2 linked regions of the Arabidopsis thaliana genome follow. The protein of the gene in region 1 interacts with the protein of each later gene in a pairwise test. Each region holds a gene or a part of one and is shown in the gene's direction. Other genes may lie near its edges.

What was found.
Region 2: the proteins of FRL1 (region 1) and FRI interact in a two-hybrid assay, tested with the Arabidopsis thaliana proteins (one study listed by BioGRID).

What each region holds. Positions count from the first base shown.
Region 1 is NC_003076.8:5,342,928-5,350,631, forward strand, and holds FRL1 (FRIGIDA like 1), read left to right. Parts: upstream 1-1,567; 5' UTR 1,568-1,579; coding exon 1,580-2,992; 3' UTR 2,993-3,179; downstream 3,180-7,704. Other genes in the region: UCH1 (Peptidase C12, ubiquitin carboxyl-terminal hydrolase 1), read right to left, coding at 1-428, 509-611, 701-794, 1,196-1,226; AT5G16330 (NC domain-containing protein-like protein), read right to left, coding at 3,236-3,846, 3,933-4,050; AT5G16340 (AMP-dependent synthetase and ligase family protein), read right to left, coding at 6,328-7,704. UniProt on the Arabidopsis thaliana protein: Required for FRI-mediated up-regulation of FLC transcripts, but not redundant with FRI and only partially redundant with FRL2. Required for the stabilization of the FRI-C complex.
Region 2 is NC_003075.7:265,342-274,212, forward strand, and holds FRI (FRIGIDA-like protein), read left to right. Parts: upstream 1-3,559; 5' UTR 3,560-3,684; coding exon 3,685-4,623; intron 4,624-5,016; coding exon 5,017-5,022; 3' UTR 5,023-5,189; intron 5,190-5,278; 3' UTR 5,279-6,145; downstream 6,146-8,871. Other genes in the region: KEA2 (K+ efflux antiporter 2), read right to left, coding at 9-68, 167-303, 486-576, 671-842, 938-2,448; AT4G00651 (Fe superoxide dismutase), read right to left, coding at 6,146-6,383, 6,489-6,538.

The sequences.
Region 1 (7,704 bases):
ATCTCATTCTGCGAATACCGGTCAATCTGCTCTTGTACCACAGGTTGGACCATTCTGAGCCACTCGATTCCTTCTGGCTCACCCAGACACTGTCCAAGACTAATGGGTCCTTCTTTAAGACCATCGAGCTCATATAAGATACCATCAACAGGTAAGTAGCTGATGTAATGATACACATCATCATCTTCGTCTAGATTTTTCGCAGCAGCTAATTCTTCATCTTCCATGATGGAAGACGGGTCAGGCCTGGCAAATGTGTTGTGAGCTGCACGTATTGCCTCATTGTTGTTGATGGCTAAACCTTTCAGTTCAGGAGGAAATTCTTTGGCGAATTGTTTCAGTTCTGATAGTTCTGAGCCAATATCAATACTCGAAGAGTTCATGAGGACTGATAATATCGCTTGGGTCGCACAAGCATTGTTGATTATCTGCAAGAAACACATAGTTTATAAAAAAGGTAATGATTGGAAAATCCGTGAGTCACAAATCTAATGTGAGAGTAAAAGACCTGGCTTGCAAAGAAGAAATTCGGGTTTGGCTCTGTGATGACAACACGATTCTCCTTTTCTTCTGGACGCCACTTGTAAAGCAATATCAATCCATAGACAGGTCTGCAAATATCAGACAACTCAAGGTAAATTTGACTTTGTTTTTCTTCTGTTTCGAACAATAGAAGATGAAAGAGTAACAAGTAAACTACCTTATTTCATCCAGAGAGTTGAAGTCCAAGGAATACAATTCCTCAACCTGCACACCTTTCACTTGCATTTGTTGTATAATCTCAGTGAAAATACCTAAAAATATAGAATACAGAAAACCAAAAAATATGAAGAAATAACAAACAAGAAAGCGACATTGGTCTTACTCACATATATGGCACAATGGCTATCGAGAGACACTAATCCACTTAGTATAAGACAAACACCATTGTTGATATATAATTTCAAAAAGCATCAATACTTTTATTTTCCAATCCTCACACAGTAAGTATCACCTCTTGTAGATGCAGAGAAGACTATTTTCAACATTTGTTGGCTTCTAATTTGACAAAATCCAAACATAAATCAGATTCTACAGGAAGCCAAGACTATTTTCCAAACATTTTTAGTGCTCCACTATCAAAACCTCGTTACTGACATCATCTCTTTATATATCCAGAAAACAGGAACCCCAAATTGTTAAAGAGAATATATACCAGGATCAGATTCTACAGGAAGCCAAGACATGGTTCAACGATGACTCGCGCCGGTGAAAATGGGTCTGAATTTAGAATTTTCACTCTCAAATTCGCGCTTATCTATCTCCTCCCATCGATTTCATCGTCTTCACGCTAGCTGCAGACTCGAAAGAGAGACTATAGACTGGTGTGGTCTCGATTTTGTCTTAATAGAGGTCGCTCTAAACCGAGTAGAAACGAAATTGAATTCATCCAAACCATTTCAATTTCTATAAATCGAACCAAATCAAGTGAAAAACAATTCGGTTCTGGTTTTATTAAACTTACTCGAACCGAACCGAACCGATAACGTTCTTATATATCCTTGCCGGAGAGAGCCAAAGAAATCTTAGAGATCAAACAATGACGGCGAGTGAGACTATCGCCACCGCGATAAATCAGATTGATGAGAAGAAGGAAAAGCTAAAGAAAGCTTTCGACGATCTTCAAGCTCATCGCTCTCTCCTTTCACCGTCTTTCTCACTTTCCTGGTCTGAGATCGATTCTCACTTTTCCTCTCTCCAATCCTCCCTTGCTAGCCGTTTCCGCCTCCTCCACTCTACATCTCCTTTGGAACATGATTCGTATAGAATCGACGCTTCTGATGCAGGGAAATCGTCGTCTTCGGAGGAGGTATCGGAGCAACCCGTTGTTGAGCCGGAGTTGAGAGCCTTGTGTGAGAAGATTGACGGAATTGGTTTGATTAAGTATTTGATTAGGATATGGGATGATGAAACTCCTCTCAATCAGGAAGTTTCTGCAGCGATTCGTTACTCTCCGGATACGGCGTCCATGGTGCTTGACGCGATTGAAGGTTCGAACTACACACCGTCATCATCGGGAAGATCATTCGATGTAAGGAGAGTTTTCGTTTTGTTAATGGAAGTTTTGATTGAGATCAATGCGAATATCACTGTTGATACGAGAAATAGAGCTAAGAAACTGGCTTACCATTGGAAATCTAAGGTTGGTGTCAAGCCTTTCGAGGCGTTAGTGTTTCTGCATTTGGTCGCAGCTTTTGAATTAGGATCAGAATTTGACACAGAGGAGCTTTCTGATTACGTTTTCATGATCGCTAAGTATAAGCAAGCAACTTTGGTTTGTAACAAGATTGGTGTAGATAGGAAAAGAGTTGGGAAACTCATCAAGACTCTCTTGGATTCTGGTAAACCAATTTTAGCAGTCAAATTCATGTATGAGTGTGGGATGACTGATGAATTTGAGCCAATCCCTGTTTTGAAATCTTACATTAAGGACTGTAGAGAAGCTGCTCTTAGAGTTTGCGTGGAAGATAACTACTCTCTCAAGTCGCAGAACGAAGCCTCTGATAAAGAAGTCAGTGCCTTGAAACCATTGATCAAAATCATCAAAGATCAGAACCTTGAATCAGAGTTTACTCAGGAGAAAGTTGAGGAACGTGTAGAAGAGCTGGAGAAAAATAAGGCATTGAGGAAACGCAACACGACTAATCCTCCCAAGCAAGAGCCACAGCAAAAGGGGAAAAAGCGGACTAGAGACTGCAAAAATGGGTCACAAGTTCCAGTTCCGAGTCAGCAGCTACTTTCTAGACCAGAAGCTCTTCTTATGCCTGAGCATAGTCATCATGGCTTACAGTTGAACCCTTATGGTCTTATGACCTCAGCATTTTCTGGTGTTGTTGTGAACCCATTAACTGGGCTCTTTGGTTCAGGTGCAACTCCTCAATCTCTTTACTATGCTCAGCAAACTGGATATGTGTTGCCGCCTCAATACCACCCGCCTTATTATTCTCAGTAGCTAGCTGCATCTCGACAATAAGATCTTAATCTCCTCAATGTAAAATGTTATCTTTGTAGAATATTTGCCTTGATGGAAAGTAAAAAAATCATTCTAACTCTATGTCTGAGGAATCTCATTCTTTGTTTTTTTGGTTTATATAGAATAGTAGTGAATTTTTCTACAATATTGGATCATGTTTCCTACATTATAGATTCTTCGAAGAATTCGCCTACCCGCCCGTTGGCGTGTCTTCAAACCTCATCACCTTCTATTTCTAGAGGTACCAGTAGCATATGCGCGAGGAACGAGGCTCTCGACGGGCACCTTAATAGCATCCTTTCTCATACCAATATCTGCAAATAGCTGAATAGCTTTGCTGCCGAAAGGACTAAGTTGCGCAAGCCACGCAGCTGCACTCACTGAGCTGGCTTGACCGCCCCTTCCCAACACATAGTCTTTTCCGACCAGCAAGCTTGTTTTACAATATATTGCAAAATCTTCACAATTGTTTTCCAAAGCATGGTAATCACCAAACCCATTCCGCAATAAGAGGTATTTGGCGCGGGAAATGACTTCATCGCAGGGATCCGAAGGTGCTATAGTGCATGTGCCGCGTCGAGGTTTGGCGATAAATGCAGCTGGAGAGACACTGTACTCGAAAAGATAGATGTTTCCTCCGGCGAGAAAGCAGTCAAGGCAAGAAGAGATTACACCTTCGAGATTCAATTGCTCTTCACAATTAGAACAAGGATTGTCTCCTTTATGATTAGGGATGACACTAACGACGATCTTGTCCAAGAAGGTCCCAGTTCCAGTTTCTAGACCACCTCCACAAGTGAAATGAATGACTTTCTCATCGCCTATATATATTCCTGAGGATGAGCATCAAATATTTGATTATCTTTGATGCAATCCGAAACAAAAAAAAAGTCACGTTATTGAGAGATAGAGACTGAACCGTGATGAGAGTAGATATAAGCGTTACGCCATGAATAGATGTGATCTCCTGGTTTAAGTTTATCTCTGGAGATTTGGTTTGAGATAAATCCTATCTTCTCCAGAAAGTGGGAATCCATTTTGATGACTATCTCTCTTCCTAGCTTTGTTATGGTTGTGATTTTATAACCAAAATTTAAAGTCAGCAGCCATATTGTTTTTTTACGTCTGTAGCTGAATGTTTCTTCTTTATTGGCTTTAGTAAAAGGAGTAGTGGTATTAAAATAAGAGAAAATTTGATTTCAGAGTCTTCCCATCTATCTTTGTCAACTTATATCCCCCCTGCACGAACTTTCTTCCCCTACAAGGCAGGAGAAACAGTTATGTGAGTCTACGAAAGTTCCTTTGTCGAATATGTTACTTGTGATCAATATCCATACAGCATAACATAAAATATAGAGTTGGACAATTCAACAAAAGCAGCCGCAGATCCTCTACTTCACAACAACAACTAGGTAAGTTAGTTACTGATAGCTCAGAAAGAGCCAAGAAAGTGTCTTCGTCTTCTACGACGGCATATTCGTGGAAGCAGTTTCATCGATTCCGGCTCACTGAAGCGGCGTCACTCTTAAAACGAAACAACACCTCTGAAGCAGCATAAACCAAAGAACTGCTGGTTTATTTAATCCAGCTGATGACTTTGGTTGGATTCTGTTATATTGTTCTTTCATAATCTAAAGAGTCTTGAAGAGTTCATTTCTTGGACAATTAATGTTACCAAAATTGTATTTCCATTTGATAAATAGTTAAAACACAGTTTTCACAATACAAAACAAAGCAGAAAAGCAAAATCTCTCTTACTCAACAACTAGTGATCAAACAAACATCAATAACGTCAATTAACTAGACTTGTTCTTTTCCATGAGTTCAATAAGGAAAACGAGCCTTTCCACAGGAACCTAATTAACATCGGATCTCATACCAATGTCGGAATGCAAACGATTCATACAATACTTACTATACCCACCAACCAACACCAGACCACCAACTTCCAGAAACGGGAACTACATATCGAAGTGTCGAAGAAAACACAGAAGCAGAAAAGCAAAATCTTTCTTTACTCAAACTAATTAGTCATCAAACATACATAATGCACATACTCGCCGAAAAAAACATACATAATGCAGATCGGTTTTTCTTGTTTTTGGGCATGTGTGCCGTATTAGGCAGTTTATGCCTTGTAAGATTTATAATTATGGGCCTGCGTGCTTTTGTTGGCGTCATGGACCTTGTAATTGTTTGGGTTTAATAGGAAAAAAGAGAGAAAGAAAAAATGTGCTAAGACCATCCTTATTCATGGGTTCTTAATAAAATTCTTAACATTTTTATATATAAAATAATAATTAAATATTAGGAGGCTCTTAATAAGTTAAGAGAATGTATCAAAAATCTCTTATTTAAGAGCCAATTTAACTTTTCTAAGAACTCTTTTCTATTTTTTATTCATATTTTATCTTATATAATATTTTAAGAATTTTTCTAAACTTTTTGAAAACCCATTGATAATGATGCTCTAACACTTCTTGTTCTCCATTATGCATTGCTTGGCTCCTACAAGGCTACAACTACAACAAGCTCTTCCACAGAAACCTAGCAAGTATATATCATTTCTATCACCAATGTCGTAAAACAAGTGACTAATACAGTAGTTACCATATTCCGTCAAAGCCATATTACCAAAACCAGGAAGTGCATATCTAACTATAGAAGAGATAACCTGGTTAGCAACCACCAGCTGCAGTCTGCAGACATCGGACTGGCTTGACCACTAGTCCACTACTTGTAAACTTGGTAACGATCGCTAAAAAAATAACCAAACCAGTTTTGCAATAAATTGCAAAATCTTCACAATATTTGTCTAAAAGATCATACGTACCCACTAAACTCATTTCTCCATAAGGGAAATTAAGACACTTGTTGTCACTTCCTCCAGAATGAAGACATTTTTATACAGAGATGAGGTTAAGGATTGGAAGAAGTAATATTTACTCTCACAGAAATATAGTAACATATGTTTTATGTAGGAAAGCGAAAGCTTGACAATTAGGGTTTAGGTTTTCTGTTTTCTCATTAAAACATTAAAGAATCTAATAAAATGAAACACACTAAAAAAGATTCTTAAACATCTTACATAAGCTCATAGGCAATATATATTTTTAAGAATATTCCAATTTCCAAACAGCGTGAAAACAAATAAACCCCAAACCATTTTGTTACATATAAAGGAAACACATCCCGTATACAATAGATGGATTACAAATATAGATTAAGCCATTGTCCATTGGTACAACATATGCATTCCATAAAATTAGAATCAATGTGATTCGTAATTTTGTGGAACGGTGAAAGAAAGACGTTTAAGAAATTGTCTTATCACCCATCTTCTTTGCAATGTCCCTAAGCACAAACTTCGTAACCTTTCCCGTCGAACTCTTAGGCAACTCATCCATAAACGACACCGTTTTAGGAACCATATACTTGGGCATCTTCTTTCTACAATACTCCATCAATTCCTCCTCCGTAGGTTTCCCACTAAACCCATTTTTCAAACTCACAAACGCACACGGTGTCTCTCCCCAAAACTCATCAGGTCTAGCCACCACCGCCACTTCATTCACCGCCGGAATCGTGTACAACACCGTTTCAACCTCAACACTACTCACATTCTCACCTCCCGTTATAATTATATCTTTCGATCTATCTTTAATCTCTAGATAACCATCGGAATGAATCACACCAACATCTCCGGTGTAAAACCACCCGTTCTTTAAAGCTTTCTCTGTTCCGACCGGATCTTTTAAGTAACCGAGCATGACCGAGCTTCCTCTCATCACAATTTCTCCGACAGTTTCTCCATTTCTCTCAACGCTCAAACCCGATTCAGGATCCACCACGTCGATTTCAGTAAACCCGACGGTTCTCACTCCTTGCCGTGCCTTCAATCTCGCTCGATCGCTTGCCGGTAAATGATTCCATTTTGGCTTCCACGCGCACGAGACGATTACACCGGCGGTTTCCGTTAATCCGTAACCGTGACTGATAACGAAACCAATTGATTCGGCTCGGAGGAGGACGGTAGCTGGAGGCGGAGAACCGGCGGTTAAGATGTTGACGGGATGGTTAAGAGGCTGAGATTCCTGAGTCGCGGATAACATGTTGAGCACCACCGGAGCTCCACACATGTGTGTGACGCCGTGATCACGGATCAGACGGTAGATTAACGGCGCGTCAAATTTACGCAAACAGACGTTAGTTCCTCCGACGGCGGCGATTCCCCATGGATTGGTCCAACCGTTAGAGTGAAATATCGGTAGAGTCCATAAGTAAACCGGATTTTTCGGTACGGCCCAATCAATTAGTGAATCAACTGACATTACGAAAATTCCTCTGTGGCAGTGTACCACTCCTTTAGGAGCTGAAGTCGTACCGGAAGTGTAATTAAGCACAACCGGATCCCATTCGCTTTCGGGTCGGATCCATTTAAAACCCGGATCACCTCTTTCGATAAGATCATCGTAAGTGTAACTGAATTTTGAAAGATCAGCCACGTCAGCAACTCCTCCTTCCTCTTCTTTATCGGCGATGACGACGAGAATCGGCGGATCAGTCGTCATCATCGAGACCGCTTCAACGGCGAGATCAACGGAGAAGACGTCGACGAAAAGAAGCTTAGATTCACAGTGACGGAGAAGAACAGAGACGGTGCGTGCGTCGAGGCGTGTGTTGATGTTGTT
Region 2 (8,871 bases), on another chromosome or scaffold:
CAAATCACCTGCGCGGAGCCTAATCCAAAAACATATTTCTTCATGGAACTAAGCCTTTCGACAGAGAGCTGTCAGACAAATAGAATCGAAATAATTGGCTCTTCTTTCCACTAAGCACATATCAAAGGAAAAAGGAACAACATATATATCAAATACTGAAGTTAACCTCAAGGCCAATGTTGAAAAGCAAGAAGACAACTCCAAATTCTGCAATGGCCTTGGTTCCATGCACATTACGAATTATTGAGAGACCATAAGGACCAATCAAGATTCCCGCCGCCAAATACCCAAGAACAGGGCTGCCTATAGATTGCAGCAGAAGAAACCAACAAGATAGCATTTAAATCTCTATGCATTATGATTGCGGCAACAGAAGTGAAATGGTTTGTCTGATGATAACAATGAATAGTACAAGTCCAAATGAAACAAGGAGGACAAAATATGGGGATTTAAAATACAATGAGTGAATTAATATATTACGTTACCTCCAGGAATTTTCTGAAATAGAGGCACGAATATGACGCTTGCAAGCAGTAACCACAACACATCGAGAAGGGAAGCTTCCTCCTCATTAACCTAAGTGTTATAAAAGTTGGAGGCAGACAGTTAAATTCCATAAGGTATGTATGGGACTCGTGAAAGAGTACATTTCCTGCATGACCACTCATACCTCTTGCTGAGGGAACATCTCAAGTAGTTTCTTTATTCTCTTTGGAAGTTTCTGCATCTGACGGATCAGAGGTTTTGTGCTGGAGGAAACATCTTCTGCGCTAGTGCTGACAATATTTGGCTGTTGTGGCAGCTGATTGTTCCTTCCTACTCCGTTGGAATAGATTGCCACTCTAGAATGAATCAGAAAACTTGCTATTAAAAAAAAACAGACAAAAAAGTTTATGGTTTATCATAATTCGTCAAAACAATTGAGTATCCAACTAACCCTGCCCCAAGAAGTGTAAATCCAAGAATTAGCTTAGGCCACTGCTGTTTCGCAGATTCAACTAAACTCTCAAAAACTGTTGCGGTTCCATCCCCATTGGAAGAGAAGAAAGATGCAGGAAAGAAACGAGAGGATTTCTTCAATGATGTCTTGGTACCATTATGAGATGAACTCTCCCTTGGCAGATCTTTCTGCACTTCCTGTTTTTTTGTCAGAACAACATTCTTTGACTTCTCTGCTTCTCCTTCAGCCTCTTTAGCAAAATCTGCAGTTGGCTTTCCGTTCTCATTATCTGACTCGTAAGACTGAGTCCCAACATCTGATGAAACTCCAACTACTACTAAGTCTCTTTCAGCCTGATGGCTTACATCAACAATTTCACTCAAGACTTCATCCTCACCAACAATAGTATTCTTTCCATCCAATACCTTTCCCTGGGTTGTTTCTTGGGTTTGGGAACCAAAAAGAGTCTTCTCTGCTCTTTGCAAAGCAATCTCTGCATCATTCACACGTTGAGTAGCCTCAAGCTCAAATGCCACAGCTTGTTCGGCCAAAACCATGATATTTGCAACATCCTCCTCGGCTTTCAATGCGCTGATCTGCGCTCTCTCGGCAGCCTCATTCAATCTATCTACTTCCTTCTGCAGCTCGTCCTTCTTAACTTGCAAACGCCTGAGTTGTTCCTCACAGCTTGCTAAATTTTCTTGGCATTCTTTTATGTCAGCCTTAGCAGATAAAAGGGCTTCCTCTTTATCTTTAACACCATCTCTAACCTCACTCTCTTCAGAAGTATTGTACCCTTCTGCTTCTAGTGATTCAAGTGCAACCTGCAGCCTTGCTTCAGCCAGAGATAATGCCATAGTAGCCTTCTGAACAGCTTCTTTAGCAACGGACTCTTCATCAACAGCCTCTTGAACCACATTAAGTGTTTGGTTTACATCGTTCCACGCACTGGCTGCTTCATCCTTAAGTGCTATCGCTACCTCTGAAATCCTCTGAGCCTTTTCTTCAAACATGGTACTGTTGAGACTAGCCACTTCCAATTCTTTAGTTGCCTTATTCAGTAGATCCCTGAGTTCCTCCAAACTAGGTGCAGAATCTTGCTCTCTTGTGTCTTTCTCTTCCTTAGAAAACGTAACCTCCCTGTCATCACTACCTTCAGCAAATTCCAAATTCCGGTCATTCCCAACCAAATCTCCTACAGAATCGCTACTTTGACAAAGTAACCTAAACCCCAGCGGAACATTTTGGGGTTTTGCAGGAAGCAAATGACCGTAAAATCTTCCATTGAAATCAGCATTCAAAGTCAAAGAAGAACGATACGATACATTTCGTTTCGATCTAATAGCTGAGCGAACTTTAGAATCAATCATCGGATCCCAAAATCTAGTGCCGCCGAGTCCTTTGGGACAGAGTTTCGCACTTATCATTCGATTCGGCAAGCAGTAACTCGCAAAATCCGCACCACCGTGAAACATACTCTGGCGCTGAACGCTAGACGCAAAATCCATATTACTGCTGCAGAAAGACGGAGAGAACAAGAGACTGACCGATCATAAGAGAAGAGAGCTTCAAGGCTTCAGCTGATGAAGAATCAATGGCGGCGAGAGTGAGTGAGAATCGAGTAGTTACTGAGAGGAAGATGAAACGTATCTCCTGAGAAAAAACGTAAGAGAGTTCCGTTTCAACAGTATTTTTCTCGGCGGTCTTCAGATTTTCCGTCCAACTCTCTCTTTCCTCTTTCAGTTTTTTTTTGCCCAATCACTCGTGGTAGGATTTTTTTATAAGAAAGTTACGAAAATGCCCTCTCGTGCTTAGAGAGATTCAATTCGTGCACATATAATATGCCGTGAATATACCACCAACTCTCTTACTCGTACTCGCATGTGGTGCGTGCAATATACACGTGGTTCGAATCAACGGCTACGTTTTACTGATAGGTGGCTCGTTTAGTTTTGCACTGCCTTTGGGTGCGCGTGACCAAGTCATTTTCCAAATGTGTTTTAATATTTGTGAACTATTATTAATAAAAAAGCGAGCGACGTTGTTCGTTGATGAGGGAGCGACCGTACGCTTGGCGACCTTCTCTGATTGCGTAGAGTCGTTTTCCTTATTGGGCTTACCTAGTACCGTCAGCCCACAATGTTTTCATTTCTTTCCCACCTAAAACTAAAAGTACTCACAAGTCACAACTTAAACCAAGTACACAAGGATTTTATCATGGGATTATCGTGTTTGAAGACTAAAAAGAGCACACCATCACCCCCATTAGTGCAGGTAGAGTAAGACAGTAACTTTTGGGTTCATATTACCGAGCAAGAACCGTTATTTGTGATTAGACATGTTATAAACCACTGCTTTAGTGACTATTTAAAACAATATATTACATGTCGTAATCATGCAACCTAACTATGTTTTCATTAATCAAATACAAAGAATAAAGAGAAAAGTGCGTAGATTCAATTATTTGGCATAGACTCAAAAGAGTGTATATATATCTGACTTTTATTAAATTATTAAACACAAATACATATTTTCATAAGCAAAACTATAAAAGCCCTAAACATATAACGATTACCTCAAAGGAAAAAGTCGTTTTCTCCTAATTAAAAGATAGGTTACTTCCTAATTAATATATAATTTATGTGAACTTCACAATATACAGTTCAATAAAATTTGGTAATTTGACCGATTTAAGGAGAGTGGAAATTAGGGCTTCTGCAATCTTTTTTCTTCGCCGCAATCTCATGTCCAATTATCCACCGACGGTGGCGGCGCAACCCACAACGACGGCGAATCCACTGCTGCAGCGACATCAATCTGAACAGCGACGAAGAGAATTACCGAAGATTGTCGAAACAGAGTCTACAAGTATGGACATTACGATCGGTCAATCTAAGCAGCCTCAATTTTTGAAATCCATAGACGAATTAGCTGCGTTTTCAGTTGCAGTGGAAACATTCAAACGCCAATTCGATGATCTTCAGAAGCACATCGAGTCAATCGAAAACGCAATTGATTCCAAACTCGAGAGTAACGGCGTTGTCCTCGCCGCGCGGAACAATAATTTCCATCAGCCGATGTTATCGCCTCCGCGGAACAATGTATCTGTAGAAACCACCGTCACTGTGAGCCAACCGTCTCAGGAGATTGTACCGGAGACGTCGAATAAACCGGAGGGGGAACGTATATGTGAGTTGATGTGTAGCAAAGGTCTGCGTAAATACATATACGCGAATATCTCTGATCAAGCTAAGTTAATGGAAGAGATTCCTTCAGCTTTGAAATTGGCCAAGGAGCCAGCGAAGTTTGTATTGGATTGTATTGGCAAGTTTTACTTACAAGGGCGTAGAGCATTTACTAAAGAGTCGCCTATGAGCTCTGCGAGACAAGTTTCGCTTCTTATACTGGAGTCTTTTCTTCTAATGCCTGATCGTGGTAAAGGGAAGGTGAAGATTGAGAGTTGGATTAAAGATGAGGCGGAGACGGCTGCTGTTGCTTGGAGGAAAAGGTTGATGACTGAAGGAGGATTAGCTGCGGCTGAGAAAATGGATGCAAGGGGTTTGCTTTTACTAGTTGCTTGTTTTGGTGTTCCTTCAAACTTTAGGAGTACAGATTTGCTGGATTTGATAAGGATGAGTGGTTCGAATGAGATTGCCGGTGCTTTGAAGCGGTCACAGTTTCAGGTACCATATTCTGTTCTCACTCGGTGAATTTCATTGCAAAGGTGGTTCCTTTTGTTGACATCATCGACCAACATCAAGTTCCATCTTTGTTTTTCGATAAGCTTGATGGTATAAACTAGGAGAGCACATCAAATATTTAGAGTGCAATGACTGATTGAGCCAAATCCTAGCTAGAAATTAATCTGGAAAGAACTTGGAACTCTCAACCATAGGTTTTGGTACGAAATTGTTGCTTGTCAGAACCAAATGATAGGCTATTGCCTTGAAATAGTGTTTCTTGTGGTTTCCAATATTGGAAGTTAAAATCATATGACTTAGCTGTTGGATACTAATTAAGCTTAAGCAATGCCAACTCTAAGAAGTGGTACTTACACAATATTCTATTGGTCATAGGTATAGTTGAATCAAGTATCAAGCGTGGAATGCATATTGAAGCTCTTGAAATGGTTTATACCTTTGGCATGGAGGATAAGTTTTCAGCTGCTCTAGTTCTAACTTCATTCTTAAAGATGAGCAAGGAGTCATTTGAGAGGGCAAAACGGAAAGCCCAGTCACCGCTGGCATTTGTATGAACCCTTCCCTTGCACATTATGTACCTTTATGAACTCTTTATCATCATCTGAGTCTGACCATTGATATATTTATTTCTCAACAGAAAGAAGCGGCTACAAAGCAGCTAGCTGTGTTATCATCAGTTATGCAGTGTATGGAGACTCACAAGTTAGATCCTGCGAAAGAACTACCAGGATGGCAGATCAAAGAGCAAATTGTTAGCTTGGAGAAAGACACTCTTCAGCTCGACAAAGAGATGGAAGAGAAAGCAAGATCTCTCAGTTTAATGGAGGAAGCCGCACTTGCCAAGAGAATGTATAACCAACAGATAAAACGTCCAAGGTTATCACCCATGGAAATGCCACCAGTAACTTCTTCATCGTATTCTCCTATCTACCGTGATAGAAGCTTTCCTAGTCAAAGAGACGATGACCAAGATGAAATATCAGCTCTTGTGAGTAGTTACCTCGGCCCGTCAACATCTTTTCCTCATCGCTCAAGAAGATCCCCGGAATATATGGTTCCACTTCCACATGGTGGGTTAGGAAGAAGTGTATATGCATATGAACATCTGGCCCCAAATTCATATTCTCCAGGTCACGGACATAGACTTCATCGACAGTACTCTCCGTCTTTGGTTCACGGACAGAGACATCCACTACAGTACTCTCCTCCAATTCATGGACAACAACAGTTACCATATGGTATACAAAGGGTTTACAGACATTCACCATCTGAAGAAAGATATTTGGGTTTATCCAATCAAAGGTCTCCTCGCAGTAACTCATCATTAGACCCCAAATAGGAGGAATGTAAATTTGTAACAAAGCTTTTTGTTTTTGCTTAAGTTAGTCATTTATTTAACTCCCAACAGTCTCAAAATTTAATTTAATGTTTGGGGCTTAAGAATGCAAATTTTTTTGCTCCTGTAATTGACATTTAAGATGCTAATGTTATTGCTTCAGAGGTTTTAGTCAACCTCAGATACATCGATATCACTATCTAAATAGACCTCTGGCTCTTGGTCATCTGGATTCTCTTCATCTTCTGTCTCTGTTCCTTCTTGTTCTCGTTGCACTGCTCGAGCAATTGCGGATTCCAACCTTGTGCTTACAGTTTCCCATGACACAAGCTTTTCCATGAATGTATTTATGTCCGCCTTCTTATCTTTCTTGAGGAAGATGAATTCACCGAAGATCCAACTTGAGCTTGACAATCAATCAAATCCGAAACAGAAACAGAGCTTTTTGACATCTTTGATTTAGCAGTCTTTGATCTTGAGGAATATCAATGAACACTAGATACACTCACACTTGCAGGCTTTAAACTGGATTTTAAACATGAATAGAAGCATTGATTCCATGGAATGTGGTAAGTGACATAGCTGGACTTCTTAAACAAATGTATGAACGGGTAGGGTTCATTACAATGTAGTTATACAGCACTGAGATTTATGGAAGAAAAAAAGGACACAGCTTTAACTATCTACAGAGAGACAAGAACACTAAAGACAAGAGAATCATAAGTTCAGGAGTTCGTTAAAATGGCTCTATTCAAATCACACATTGGCACAAGACCACTAATAAGATACCAAGTGGGACAATCGAAAGATAATAAGAGATAGCATATCAGAGAGAGAGAGAGATTTTTTGAGGAGGGAGAAGTTCGCCGGAGGCTTCTGTTTCTAGTCGGCGTTGTGATTGGAATTGTTTGAGCGGTCTTTCCAGTCCCGGAATTGGAAACAAGAGGGCTAATTTTGGTCCTTTTGGAAAGATTTGAAACGACATCGTTATTAAGCCCTAATTCTACTATAACGATGTCGTTTACGAGAAACATACATATACATACTTGAGAATAAAGCCCATTACCAAGAGACCAATTTTGGTCTTTTTCGTATAGTATTAACTCTACGGCGATTGATCTAAGCCCAATAATTGTGGAACTTGCTCGACTTAGGTCTCAATCTCTATTTTCTACCAATGCCAAAAAACAATTTCCTTACAAATTTTTTATTTTTCCCATCAAAACAATTCCCACCAATTTACATTTAAAAATCATTGTAATCTATCACATTTCCTTACTTTTAAAACCATTTACAAATCTATTTATCGCCAAAACAAAAACGGGAAAAATGTTTTTGGAAAAAAAAAATTGACAGAAAAATTATTTTCGGAATATTTTTGGCGAAAAAAATCGATATTCTATTTTGTTAACCTAAAATATTTTCAAAATATGAGTAAAATAGTCATTAAAAATTAAATTAACGTATAAATGAAAATGACTAACAGGAAAGGTTATAATTAAAAAATGATAATTTTGGAAGAACATTTTTTACAATTTCTCTTTAATCATTAACCCTCGTTGTATGGAACTCCGGTGGCGTTGAGCCACGAATCTCTATTTATGAACTCTCTAACCGTAAACATGACTGCTTCCATCGGGTCTGTGATGATCTTGTTCCCATTCGGATGGACTCTCTGGCTTGCGTTTGCTCTGGGGCCTTTGTTTTGATATTCGCGGTAGAACAATGTGGACAAATCCCCACTAGTGCTGCTATTTCATGGAGTCCATCCCACTGGATCTATCAAAACATCCATTTAAGATTCCATAATCACCACCGTTGATAAATCACCCCACGGTCTTACTAGAAACATCTTCACCATTCTGTGAATGTCGACGTGTCGGTCGAGAGACTGTAAAAAGCCTACGTATTCATAGAATTTTTATTTTTATTTGTGATGTTTATGATAGTTTTTTGTTCACTTTATTTTTTTTGTTCAATCTATTTTAATTTTCTTAACACTGATATAAAAAATTTCATAGTTTATGTTGTGTATTTATTTTTTAATTTTTTATAATATTTAATTTAATTTTGTCAATTATTGTTTTATTTAATGTGTGAATTAATTTTAGCTGTAATGTTTTGATTTCAATAAATAAAATTTAGGCAGGCCACAATATGATGACTTGGATGTTGATGTAGACATCGTAGATCGAAAGTGAACTTTTCTATTATATAGACGTATTTTACTTATTTTTTGCTTAATTTATGCTTACTTTTGGTCAAATTATTTTCTCTTTATTATTCAAATTATTTCAATAATCATAACATATTGGTAGATATGTAGTCGCTATAAAAAATTTGGATGTAAATGTTAACTGATGAAATAAACTAGGCCTAATTTGTGTGAAAGTAGAAACCTATTAATTGTGAAAGTTTGAAATTCCATAATCTCGGTCGCATATTGAATACTCAACATATAATTTTGGTAGTGTTTGAAGAATCATATTTGAGACATAATCAGGTATAATGAATAAAAGCAGATGACACAGCAAACGAGGAAGATGTCATCACTTGTCACAAATCCAGTGCATAGATGGATCAAGTGCAATTCTGATGAAGTATAAAAACATTAGAGAAATACTCTGAAATTGGATGGATACTCTATGACGACCAGGTGGTGTTTGTAACATCTTGCATAGCGTTAATCTTGAGCTAAAAACAGCTTTAGAAGCTGAAAGATAGATTTTTGGGGTCAGACTGAAAACTTTAATTAAGTTAGGGTAAATATGTAAGGAAAAGGAAGTAATGTGTAATTTTATAAATTTCAGAAAGAAAGAAATGAAAACTTAAAACTCCGTTTTAATTACCACAAGGCTCAAGCCCAAGCCCAATACCGCTAACGAAATCCGACG